3 linked regions of the Saccharomyces cerevisiae S288C genome follow. The protein of the gene in region 2 purifies or fractionates together with the protein of the main gene of each other region. This does not show direct contact. Each region holds a gene or a part of one and is shown on either strand. Other genes may lie near its edges.

Region 1 (2,475 bases), on a different chromosome or scaffold from region 2:
TGGTTGTGTTGCTTGGCAGCCCGCAAATTGGTCTTCCCTCCTTGTTATTGTATTTTCTGTTATTAGAGCATACAGAACATAGAAACTCAAGATCAGATACAGTTTTTGCACGCCATGTCTCAAGGTACTTTATATGCTAACTTCAGAATTAGAACTTGGGTCCCAAGAGGTCTTGTCAAGGCTTTGAAGCTGGACGTTAAGGTTGTTACGCCAGATGCCGCCGCTGAACAGTTCGCAAGGGACTTTCCCTTGAAGAAGGTTCCGGCTTTCGTGGGTCCAAAGGGTTACAAGCTAACCGAGGCAATGGCGATTAACTATTATTTAGTAAAGCTTTCACAGGACGACAAGATGAAGACTCAACTTTTAGGTGCCGACGATGACTTAAATGCCCAAGCGCAAATCATCAGATGGCAATCTTTGGCCAACAGTGATCTGTGCATCCAGATTGCCAACACCATCGTTCCCTTGAAGGGCGGCGCCCCCTACAACAAGAAGAGCGTTGATTCTGCGATGGACGCTGTTGACAAGATCGTCGACATCTTCGAGAACAGATTGAAAAACTACACCTATTTGGCTACGGAAAACATCTCCTTGGCCGACTTGGTGGCTGCCTCGATTTTCACCAGATACTTTGAAAGCCTGTTCGGTACTGAATGGAGAGCTCAACATCCAGCCATCGTGAGATGGTTCAACACCGTTAGAGCCTCACCCTTCTTGAAGGATGAATACAAGGATTTCAAGTTCGCTGACAAGCCATTGAGTCCCCCTCAAAAGAAGAAGGAAAAGAAGGCCCCAGCCGCCGCTCCCGCCGCTTCGAAGAAGAAGGAGGAAGCCAAGCCAGCTGCTACCGAAACTGAAACTTCTTCCAAGAAACCAAAGCACCCATTAGAATTATTGGGCAAGTCAACTTTCGTTTTGGATGACTGGAAGAGAAAGTACTCCAATGAAGACACCAGACCAGTTGCTTTACCTTGGTTTTGGGAGCACTACAACCCAGAAGAGTATTCCCTGTGGAAAGTCACCTACAAGTACAACGATGAATTGACTTTGACTTTCATGTCCAACAACTTGGTCGGTGGTTTCTTCAACAGATTGTCCGCCTCTACCAAGTACATGTTCGGTTGTCTGGTAGTCTACGGTGAAAACAACAACAACGGTATTGTTGGTGCAGTTATGGTTAGGGGCCAAGATTACGTTCCAGCTTTCGATGTCGCACCAGATTGGGAATCTTACGACTATGCAAAGTTGGATCCAACTAACGACGACGACAAAGAATTCATCAATAACATGTGGGCCTGGGATAAGCCAGTTTCCGTCAATGGCGAACCAAAGGAAATTGTTGACGGTAAGGTCTTAAAATAATCTCTTCGTACTATCCTTCATGTCGCCTTTTATTATAAAGTATGCTAGGTAGTTTTATCTATATCTTATTTATGACGCAATATAGGGTAACAGAGTTTTTCTGCTCTGAAACTTCCGCAGAAAAAAAATCAAGTTTTCCTTTTCGTATCTTGGATTATTGTTATATAATAGATGCATGTATTATATGTATAGCAGTGATTTGCTTATTTTCTTGATTCTGAGGAATCGAAGAAGTAACTTAGCGTTTCTTCCGTTGAGCAGAGCAGTATAATAATCCTTCAAATTCTTTAGGTTACGGGGTTTTCCTGTTGCGATGACCGAAGAAACTATTACTATAGATTCTATTTCAAATGGGATACTGAATAACCTGTTAACCACATTGATCCAGGACATTGTAGCTCGGGAAACCACTCAACAACAATTGCTGAAGACAAGATATCCGGATCTTCGCAGTTATTATTTCGACCCGAACGGATCTCTCGATATTAATGGACTACAGAAGCAACAAGAGTCCTCTCAGTATATTCACTGTGAGAATTGTGGCAGGGATGTGTCCGCAAACAGACTAGCAGCTCATTTACAGAGATGTTTGAGTAGGGGTGCTAGACGTTGACACTAGGTGGTGGTTTATGGGTAATTGAAAAGGCACAGACAGATTTTAGCCCATTTCTTGTGGGCATAGGTTCATAAAAAAAGCAAGATTCTTACATTTTATGCGGCATATCTGCACATAGAAGTTCATGTAGTTATGTGGTAACATCTCAAAGAGAGAAGGCGAAAACTGTTTTAGCTATTAACTACATGTTTTTATAATAGCACCTCCCATATATGATGCCAAATGATACCTTGCATTCCGTTATGTGGAAGGGTTACACATAAGTACGCTATAACAATGCATTCAATTTTCTACATATCAGAGTAATATGCTGCAACATCACACCCATATAATATAATTTTTTGAAAGAGTTCCTAACTCTTTTTTGTTTTTCCTGTACCTATATACTCAAATAGTCCGCCGCAAGTAGCAGCTCTAACGACATTTCTGTCGGTATTTCAAACTCTGGAATCTCATCATCGTCCTCGCTAACGCCGCTGTACTTCAAATTATAATTT
Region 2 (6,725 bases):
CCGTCAGTGTGTTCTCCAAGACTTTGTTACCCAAATCCTCTTCTTTTACATCCGCGAACGTAATACTTAATAGATCTATTAGTAATTTCTCAGCGCTATCTGTTATAGCAGATGGGGCCTCGCTCTGAGTGTCCTTCAGCACAAATAATAGACCATTGGCTAGGTTATACTGATACTTTTTTAGGAAAACTGAGGACGACTTAACATTATCAATGAGAACTTTTATACCCAAGACACCGCCTCTTTTGTTGTAATATGTTTCGTCGTAACACAAATGGATAAACTGTTTAGCTAATTCCGGTATGAAGGAGTGACTTAAAGCTAGTTCCTCCCCATATATCAGACAACTTTTTTCGTATATTCTTTTGTACGCCAAAACACCCACCTCACGAACTTCTGGAATGTAGTACGAAAGGGCAAAGGGAATAGCATCTAGAATCAATGAGCTATCTAGCATGAAGTTTGGGTTCTTTAGATCGATGTTAAATGTCCCATTATAGTTTCTCTTATTAAGCAACGTAGTGTTTACTTGTAATAGGCAGAAATGATCCAAAAGGTTATTCAGTAGGTCCATTGCGTCATCTTTTAGTTCCTTTATCGAAGTTGCGTAAAAAACGCTCTCCAGTAACCTCAAAAACAAATTTTCTTGGTTCGAATAATCTCTCTTATTTACAGTTGGTTCCAAATCAAAGTTTTTTTCTATTCCAATCCTCTCTAGCTTTATAGAATTCACTGCTGTCTTCAACAGTTCCGTGTAATTCGTAGGAAACTCTGCTGATGATTTTGTCATTAACAGTAGTACACAGGTTAGATACTTGTAAGCACTCTTCCTGTAGTGAATATCACTTTTGTAGCTTTGCAATATATTCAAAGCGGACTGGATTCCTGGCGTTACAGAAAGCGGTACATCTTCCGGCATACCATTGATTTTGAAATCTGCTATCGCATCAATGTCTAGTTCCGTTTTTTCCGTGAGGTCCGTTGGTGGCTTTAAAAATTGACGATTTCTACCTCCTAATTTGCCCAGTATTCTGACTACGTTGTGGCTGATAGCATGATTAAATGGTTGAGGTTGCAGAAGGTTAAACAAGGCCTTCGAAACGTCATCGATTACCGGTTCGATTATAGGATCAAAATACTCGGCGGTCAAATTATCAATACATAATTCTAAGGTCCTTAAACCCTGCGAAACGAGATCAGGATATTGCTGTAATGCAAATACCAATGGTTTCATCAAAAATGGCAAATAAGGAGCAAGCACACTTAACCGAACTGGTACAGTGATGCATAATTCCACATAAAGTTCTCTCTCGTGGGGCAATCGTGCAGTAAGTATCATTTGGTTTAAAGATTGTAATAGCACCTGTAGTATGGGCTTAATCGATCTATATAAGTTTTCAAATCTGCCCCCACCTATACTTCTAAAAAGAGTTCTAATAAGATAAAAGTATACTAGAGGCTCTTCTGCTGTAGTTGAGTATTTCAGGGAGTTTAGAATTAGATCGTTTAAGTGTGGAAGAAGAACAACCTCATTGATATTGGGGAAAAGATTGACGGACATAAAGGACAATTTGAAAAGTCGTATTAGGACATTAGAAGTGTTAAAATCAACGTTTCCTAAATCTTTCAATTTCCCTTTCAAGAATCTTAAAAGGATGCCAGCAAAATTTGGGGAGGTTATTTCACTTGTTAAAAAGGATTGCGCGACATGTAGCAGCCCAGAATCCTCCAGCATTCTTTCATAGACAAATGGCAGTTCCTGTTCAATTATTTCATTAAAAGTGGCATTATCCATCTGCATAAACATAAATGCCAAATAGTCCATTAACTCACGAGCATCTTTGGTGGCTGAGACCGGTAGGCTGGGCATTGATATATCAAAATGTTTTTTTGTTGTTTCTGGAGATAATTTTTCATTATGATCTTTAAAAAATTTCAAACCAATAATACATTCGTGAAATAAATCCTTGAAAACAATGACTTCCTCATATGAAAAAACTCTAGAAACAGAAGCCCACAATTTAGGATTAGCAACCGTATATTCGTTAGGAGGTGGGTTAAAGACTTTTAAGTCATGAATTATTGTTTTTAAGAAAGACATTAAAGTTCTGTATAAGTAAAAAGCATCCTTGATGGGATCATTTGTTGGTGTGGGTAGTAATAATATAGGTGCGTAGTTTTTTATGTCAAACATTTCAACGTCATTCTTCACCACTTTGTCAGATTCTGTCATTTCAACATCGGGACTATCATTGATATCTTCTTTTTTAGGCTGTGGCATCAAATGGTCGTCATCGGATGGTTCCAGTACCTTCCTCATAAATTCCTCACTCTCTTTGTCATTATCCTGTATAGAGTTTTTGAGCTTTTCTGCTTTCTCCTTCTTATGCGTTTCGTATCTTCCATAGTACTTCATTATTGTATCGTACTGTCTGTTTAAGGTTTTAAATCTATTCATATATGAGTCAATGATTATCATTAACAATTTCTTTGCTCTAGGGGCCTCTTGTGGGTTCTCCTTTCCCAATTTTAATATTCTTTCAACTAAATTAAGCAGCAATTTTGCACTCATGATTTGTACAGTTAAGGCTAATGACTCATCCAATAGATATCCAGTGTAAATCTTTATTGTTTTTTCAATTTCACTTAGTTGTAATTCAGATCTTATATTATGAATGAAATCTGCCACAGTACTATAAGCCAGGGGCCTTAATGTTTCATGCATAGTAAAACCGTTACCAATAAGTATACGTTCGTCAAACAGATAGTCCAATTTGGGTAAAAAGAGCTTTTTGTAGTTTGTAGATAGAATGTGTCTAGTGGCATGCAAAAGTTCCTTCCTAGCAGATGATAGTTCAGAAGGGCAGTCTTGTAAAAGCCTTATGATTAAATCAGGAACAAAATTCACATAATCCTGCAAAAATTCAGGAGCGTATCCTCTAATGAATACGTAAGCCAAGAAAGACGTGGCCTTGATCTGGGCTAATATAAAATCACAGTAAGCCGGTCTGTTGATAATCTCCGTCGATATAGAAGTGAAATGTTCTCCCCGTGATTCCGCCTGTTCTCTCGCTTCCTGTTGTTGTTTAATTTGTATATTCAATAGATTCATAATAAGAGGAGTGAATTCCGGAAGCGAGGTGCTAGTCAACTGCTTGTAAGACGAATATAAAGTGACCATTGTAATAGGGCATTCAGAAAGGATTTTAAAGGAAAACATAGATGACCTCAACCCGTTTGATGAGGTAGAGTTTTCAAACCTTGGCTCCGTGGATGATTGTTTCGATGGAAAGTCCTTTTCTTCATCATTTTTGGAGAATTCATCGAGAAGTTCATCTGCCTGTGGTTCTTTTGGTGAATCCAAATCACCCTGTTCTGCTTTCCCGGCTTCATAAAACGTCTGGTTTATAAGGTTTGGTGTATTTTTATAAATCTGAATAATTATTCGTATGAAGGAGTCGAGTTTGTCCTGTAGTATTGATTTGAATGATTTGAAAAGTGTCGTCAGCACTTTCATACATAATATCCCATTTTCTTCGTTTTCCTTTGGTAGTACTGAAAGTAAAAACTCGAGCACTTCCATTGCGTAGGGTTGAAAGGTTTGGTTCATGAGACACCTGTTGAAAATATCAAGCATAGAGTTTCTCAACTTTTGTTCCGGTGAATGCGCATCATATGAAATAGGAACTTCCTTTAGCTGGTTTAGAAGTAAAGGTATCACAGCTTGTAAGAAAAAATGGTAATCCTCAGGAGAATTCAGTAATTCCATTATGTCGTACAATTCCGATAGAGTGGAATATCTCGATTGTAGAGTGGCATCATCATCGCGAAACCTACTGGCGAATTGCTCGATCTGCTCAGTGAGTGACATCGGCAAAATGCGGTATTCTTTGTAACTATGGAGATATCGTGTGATAGATCTTCTCTGAATTTAATCTTCTTTATGTAATTACGTGTGATACCTCCGATTTTGTTGGTGTTGTTTATTAGAATACAACTAAAAAAGGCTATTAAAGAAAAATGGTTCTTGAGCTTTTTTTTCAGTTTGACCTGGAAAACTGTCTGACCACGTGATCACTTACCAAATTAGGAAACACAAGATTCAAGGTGGTCTTTTGAACAATTGTTGGTTGAATTTGTAATTTGAGGGTACAATAAATGCAGACTGATTTGGTATTCGATACGTGCGTTAGCTATTTTCGTGCGTTTTGTTTGTTCCTATGATCTCAGCGGCGTCCAGATGCTAGTTGAAAAGGCATGAATTATGGCTTTGTCTTGAAATGCGCGTGTCCGTAAAATATTGTCTGGCAGAGTAGCGTACAATTCTTAGTTTTGGCTTTTTGATTCAAGTTGATCTTCAAATTTCACTTATTTGCGTTCTGGCGATCTATCTGAAGGAGTTGATTAGTGGCGGCTAAAAGTGATGCAGCTCGTCCTTCTGTTTGCCCTATTGAAGGTGAAGCCTTCCGTGCACAATGCGAAAAAAATGTTCTTTTTTTTCCTTCGTTTCGTCTCAACGTGGGAACGATCAAACTGGAAAAACCAAAGAGAAAAATGTTAGAAAATAAATAAATAAAAAAAACACGTACGCTGTAACAACTTAGGTCTGATTCAACCAAATCGGAGCTTGCAACTGAAGAAATTAGTAATTTTGAGGGTTACTAAGGAGGCCATTTGCAGAAGAATATTGGACCATCATGTCTCAGCAGAATATTTTGGCAGCTAGTGTTTCAGCGCTCTCTCTTGATGAATCTACTGTGCATACGGGCGGAGCATCTTCCAAAAAAAGTAGAAGACCTCACAGAGCATATCATAACTTTTCCTCGGGCACTGTTCCTACTTTGGGCAATTCACCCTACACTACACCCCAATTGAATCAGCAGGATGGTTTTCAACAACCTCAAGCCTTTACCCCTAAGCAATTTGGTGGCTTCAACAACGGTTCGGGTTCCGTTATGTCCACGCCTGTAATGGTGAGTCAAGAGCGATTCGGTGCGAGTGAGGCCTCCTCGCCATATGGTCAATCTATGCTTGATATGACAGCGCCTCAACCTACATCTCACATTGTTCCAACTCAAAGATTTGAAGATCAAGCTCAATATTTACAACGATCTTTCGAAACTTGTAGAGATTCTGTTCCGCCCTTGCCGACCACCCAGTTTTATTGTGTTGACCAAGGTTCATGTGATCCGCACTTGATGAGTTTATCCATGTACAACATCCCCGAAAGTGAACACTTGAGAGCCGCCACGAAGCTACCACTTGGATTAACCATCCAACCATTTTCCACTTTGACACCGAATGATGCAGAAGTTCCCACAATTCCATTACCAATGGATGGTACGCCTTTGCGTTGTAGACGTTGTCGTGCGTATGCTAATCCTAAATTTCAGTTCACTTATGATTCAAGTGTTATTTGTAATATTTGTAGAGTTAAGATGCAAGTTCCAGGTGAGCATTTTGCGCCCATGGGTCCCAATGGGCAACGAAGTGATTTGAACGAAAAATCAGAGTTATTGCACGGAACAGTCGATTTCTTGGTGCCAAGTATTTACAATGCTATTCAGGAGAAGGAGCTTTTACCACTACACTACGTGTTTTTGATTGATGTTTCATTGTTAGCTAATGAGAACGGAAGTTCTTTAGCCATGGTGGAAGGTGTCAGGTCATGTATTGAGTATATTTCAGATTTCCAGCCAAATTGTGAGGTTGCTATAATCGTTTATGATAATAAGTTGCGGTTCTTTAATTTGAGACCAGATTTAGATAATGCACAAGAGTACATTGTAAGTGAATTGGACGATGTTTTCTTACCATTTTATAATGGATTATTTGTTAAACCCGGAAACTCGATGAAAATCATTAATGACACATTGATAAAAATTAGTGGTTACATCTCCACCGACAAGTATAGTCACGTACCCCAAGTCTGTTATGGTTCTGCTTTACAAGCCGCAAAATTAGCGTTAGACACAGTAACTGGCGGGCAAGGTGGTAAGATTATTTGTTCTTTGAACAGCTTGCCAACGATCGGCAACGGGAATTTATCGCTAAAAAGGGACAATGCACACATTGCTCATGTTAAATGCGACAATGGGTTCTATAAGAAATTAGCATCGGATTTTTTGAAATCCTACATTTCTTTAGATTTATATGTGACCAATGCGGGATTCATTGATATGGCCACTGTGGGCCATCCTGTAGAGATGACTTCCGGTATTTTGAAATATTATCCCCACTTTCAACAAGAGACGGATGCCTTCACTTTGGTTAACGACATGGTTACAAATGTCTCCAATATTGTTGGTTATCAAGCTTTATTGAAAGTTCGCTGTTCTACTGGGCTATCTGTGGAACAGTACTACTGCGATTCATCTGATAATACGGATCATGATCCAATTATTCCTGTATTGACTAGAGATACCACCTTAGATGTCTTACTAAAATATGACAGTAAAATAAAAACAGGAACCGATGTTCATTTCCAAACTGCATTGTTATATACTGATATTGATGGTGTCAGAAAAGTTCGTTCTATTAACACGTCAGGTGCGGTATCTAATAACATTCGTGAAATTTTCAAGTTTATAAATCAAAATCCTGTCATGAGAATAATGATCAAAGATGTCATAAAGACGCTCGGTGATTGTGACTTTGTAAAGATCAGAAGATTAATTGATGACAAGATGGTCGAAATCTTGACCCAATATAGAGGATTGGTTAGC
Region 3 (3,026 bases), on a different chromosome or scaffold from region 2:
TTTCCTTCTAAGGGTTTTTCATACTCAATAAAATCTGCAGGGACGTCTATGTAAGAAACCCCTGCAGTGCCTTGTATACAGTAATTCAAAGCCTTCTGAGTAATCATGTCAATATTGTCAGGGGTTAACTTTCCGGTAAACTTCAAAAATGGGGACAAAAGACTAACTTGATCCAACTCTTGAAACCCGCCTTTATGTATATCACTTTGAGAAGAACTCCCTGCAATTACTAGAAGAGGCCACCTATTACTCATTGAGTTGTATATACCAGCCAGTGCGTGGATTAAACCGGGGCCCCCGACAATAAGTAACACGCCGGGCTTATCACTAATATAACCATAAGCAGAGGCTGCATATGAGGCAGCCTGTTCGTTCCTGCATGGAATGAATTTGATACCGTTGGCAACCATCGTATCCGCTAGTTGGACAATAGGGATGCCCACAATTCCAAAGACTGTGTCGATGCCATATTTTTGTAAAAGTTGAGCGAAGTGTTGGGTAGCGGTCGTGGTCATATTGATGGATGGTTGTGACGGTTTGAATGTAGAGAGTATATTCTTCTTATCACATAAAAGTAACCAATGCCTTTTTTTTCCTTTATATATAATGTGGTTATATACCAACCTTTTGTAAATTTCCAACTTTTTTCTTTAGTTAGCTTTGCTTGAACTTCGGGCCGAAGGGCTCGGATAAGAGAAACAATAATTTTGTTTTCATAAAACATCGATGGCTTGACTACTTCTTTTATCCTGTTCCTGAGATTCTTTCATCTTGGCGATCTTACACCTTAGTTCCATAATAGGGTCTCTTACAAAATCCCTCATTGAAACGACTTGAGAACACGCTGCTTGCGGGCAATCTCTTGTCGTGTATCCTTGTAAATAGTTTTGAATGCCGTCTCTATCGAAGACGTGATTACATTTTCTTGATATCAATGGTGCTTCGTAAGGTTTGCAGGTGATAGGACAAGTCAATTCAATTTTACCACCTTCTATTTGTAGATCGTCTTCGTCTGCGGGGTTTTGCAGATCCGGTATTACACAAGTTGGATCATTCCATATGTACGGCAACACTTTTAGTATCTTGAGTGTATCTGTGTTATTAACCATGGTTGCAGGCTCTGGTGTGGGCATATTTAGATATAATTCAGATAATTTGGGAGCGGTGAGTTCTCCGGTACGATATTTATCCCAGGTAGAAAGGTCGATTTGCGGACAGGCATCTGAGGATTGTTTGAAATTTTTTTTTAAATCTTTAATATGTTCGTCAAATGAGTTGGATTCCGATTCGTATGTCGAGAGGAGTTTGTAGGTGCTAGTAATATCTGCGACCTGCTCTTCAATGCCGATGGTGGAAGGAGATGTAGAATCCACTAATTGATTTATGGTCTCATCAATTTGTTTGTAGCATTGTTGATATATATTTGATAAGTCTCGGGCATGTAAATTATGGAAGTACTTACCTGATTTTGGGTGTAGAGGAACTGACTTGGGTATAGGATTATCGTTCAAGGCCATTTTTAAAGTTATTCTTTTTTTATATAGTCTTGCCTTGGTTTCTTTAACTGACACGATTATTTTAGCAAGTTTTTTTCTACACAGGAAAAGAGGAAGAAAATAACCAGAGAAGCACTGGTAAAAAGATACTTCTGCGTGCCGGAGTAACCAGAATCAAAGGAACGCATAGATGGATAAAGAGGTAAGTGAATTGGTAGTGTTGCAGCTAATACACACTTTAATTTCCAACAAGAATGAAGAACTGGTTAGGAACGGGGGAGGAATCAACATGATTGGGAATAATCTTCGAATATCGCTAGTCAAGTTGACTAACGAAATACAAAACAATTTGCTAATCAACGAGCTGACAAATTTAAGAAGGCAAAGCAACGTGGCAAATGGAAACAGGAAACTGGGCATCAACGATATCCTGACCATAGTTAAGAATTTATTCCCAGAGTACAGAACAACACTAAACGATGGACAACTTAGTCTACACGGTTTGGAAATGCATGATATCGAGAAGCTCCTTGACGAAAAGTACGATCGATTCAAGAAAACGCAGGTCGAACAAATAAGGATGATGGAGGATGAGATATTGAAGAACGGTATAAAGACCGGTGCATCGCAACTGCAACCACATGCAAATGCTGGCAAAAGTGGATCTGCTGGTACCAGTGCTACTATAACTACGACTACGCCACACATGGCGCATTCAATGGACCCAAAAAGAGAAAAACTATTGAAATTATACAGAGATACCGTTCTGAATAAATTGGAAAGTAAAACTGGGAATTTTCAGAAGCTATTCAAGAGTCCCGATGGTAGCATTATCAAGAATGAGATAAATTACGAAGACATAAAGAACGAAACGCCCGGCAGCGTTCATGAACTGCAGCTGATTCTTCAAAAGAGCATAACGGACGGTGTAATGCGAAAGGTCATTGGTACGGACGACTGGAAATTGGCTAGACAAGTGCAGTTTGAATTGGATGATACGGTGCAGTTCATGAGAAGAGCACTAGAGTAAGGAGATAGTAGGCGACACTTCGAAAATCTAAAGTCTTGTAACATTACTATTATATACTATTTTATTAAAAAAATACACACACAATTCTTTAACAGAACAATATATAACAAATGAAGCGACATGTTTCTCAAAAAAAAACATAGTAGGTAGGTAAAAATGGGAAAGAACGGGACAAACAAAACGAAGAGCAGGGTGTATTTGCCCACACACGGCAAACAACATCCATTCACGCCCGCATGCCCAAAACTTTTTTGCGATAAAACGCCCACGCAAATCACATCGTTCCAACAGAGGAATCGAACAGCACAGATACAAAGTAGGAATATAGCACACACACAGGAAAAATTAATTAATTATTAGAAATTAAAAGGGTTGGGGAGAAAAGAGGTCTAATTTATTCATTAATATTCAGTAATTGAAAAAAAAAAAAAAAAGAGGATAACTAAGAGAAAACAACATCAAGCTCGTTTGGCTTGCTAGTGATCGCTTAGAATCTTTGT

What was found. The genes of interacting proteins can lie anywhere in the genome.
Region 1: the proteins of TRA1 (region 2) and SGF11 purify together in Saccharomyces cerevisiae (affinity purification with mass spectrometry; 5 studies listed by BioGRID). This does not show direct contact.
Region 3: the proteins of TRA1 (region 2) and EAF5 purify together in Saccharomyces cerevisiae (affinity purification with western blotting; 5 studies listed by BioGRID, with this or other methods). This does not show direct contact.

What each region holds. Positions count from the first base shown.
Region 1 is NC_001148.4:464,287-466,761, forward strand, and holds SGF11 (SAGA histone acetyltransferase complex subunit SGF11), read left to right. Parts: upstream 1-1,675; coding exon 1,676-1,975; downstream 1,976-2,475. Other genes in the region: CAM1 (translation elongation factor EF1B gamma), read left to right, coding at 115-1,362; ELC1 (elongin C), read right to left, coding at 2,358-2,475. UniProt on the Saccharomyces cerevisiae protein: Component of the transcription coactivator SAGA complex. SAGA acts as a general cofactor required for essentially all RNA polymerase II transcription. At the promoters, SAGA is required for transcription pre-initiation complex (PIC) recruitment.
Region 2 is NC_001140.6:299,907-306,631, reverse strand, and holds the start of TRA1 (histone acetyltransferase TRA1), read right to left. Parts: upstream 3,872-6,725; coding exon 1-3,871. Other genes in the region: SFB3 (Sfb3p), read left to right, coding at 4,698-6,725. UniProt on the Saccharomyces cerevisiae protein: Essential scaffold subunit of the transcription coactivator SAGA complex. SAGA acts as a general cofactor required for essentially all RNA polymerase II transcription.
Region 3 is NC_001137.3:119,785-122,810, forward strand, and holds EAF5 (Eaf5p), read left to right. Parts: upstream 1-1,686; coding exon 1,687-2,526; downstream 2,527-3,026. Other genes in the region: PXP1 (putative indolepyruvate decarboxylase family protein), read right to left, coding at 1-515; SUMO ligase MMS21, read right to left, coding at 714-1,517; PMP2 (proteolipid ATPase), read right to left, coding at 3,014-3,026. UniProt on the Saccharomyces cerevisiae protein: Component of the NuA4 histone acetyltransferase complex which is involved in transcriptional activation of selected genes principally by acetylation of nucleosomal histone H4 and H2A. The NuA4 complex is also involved in DNA repair.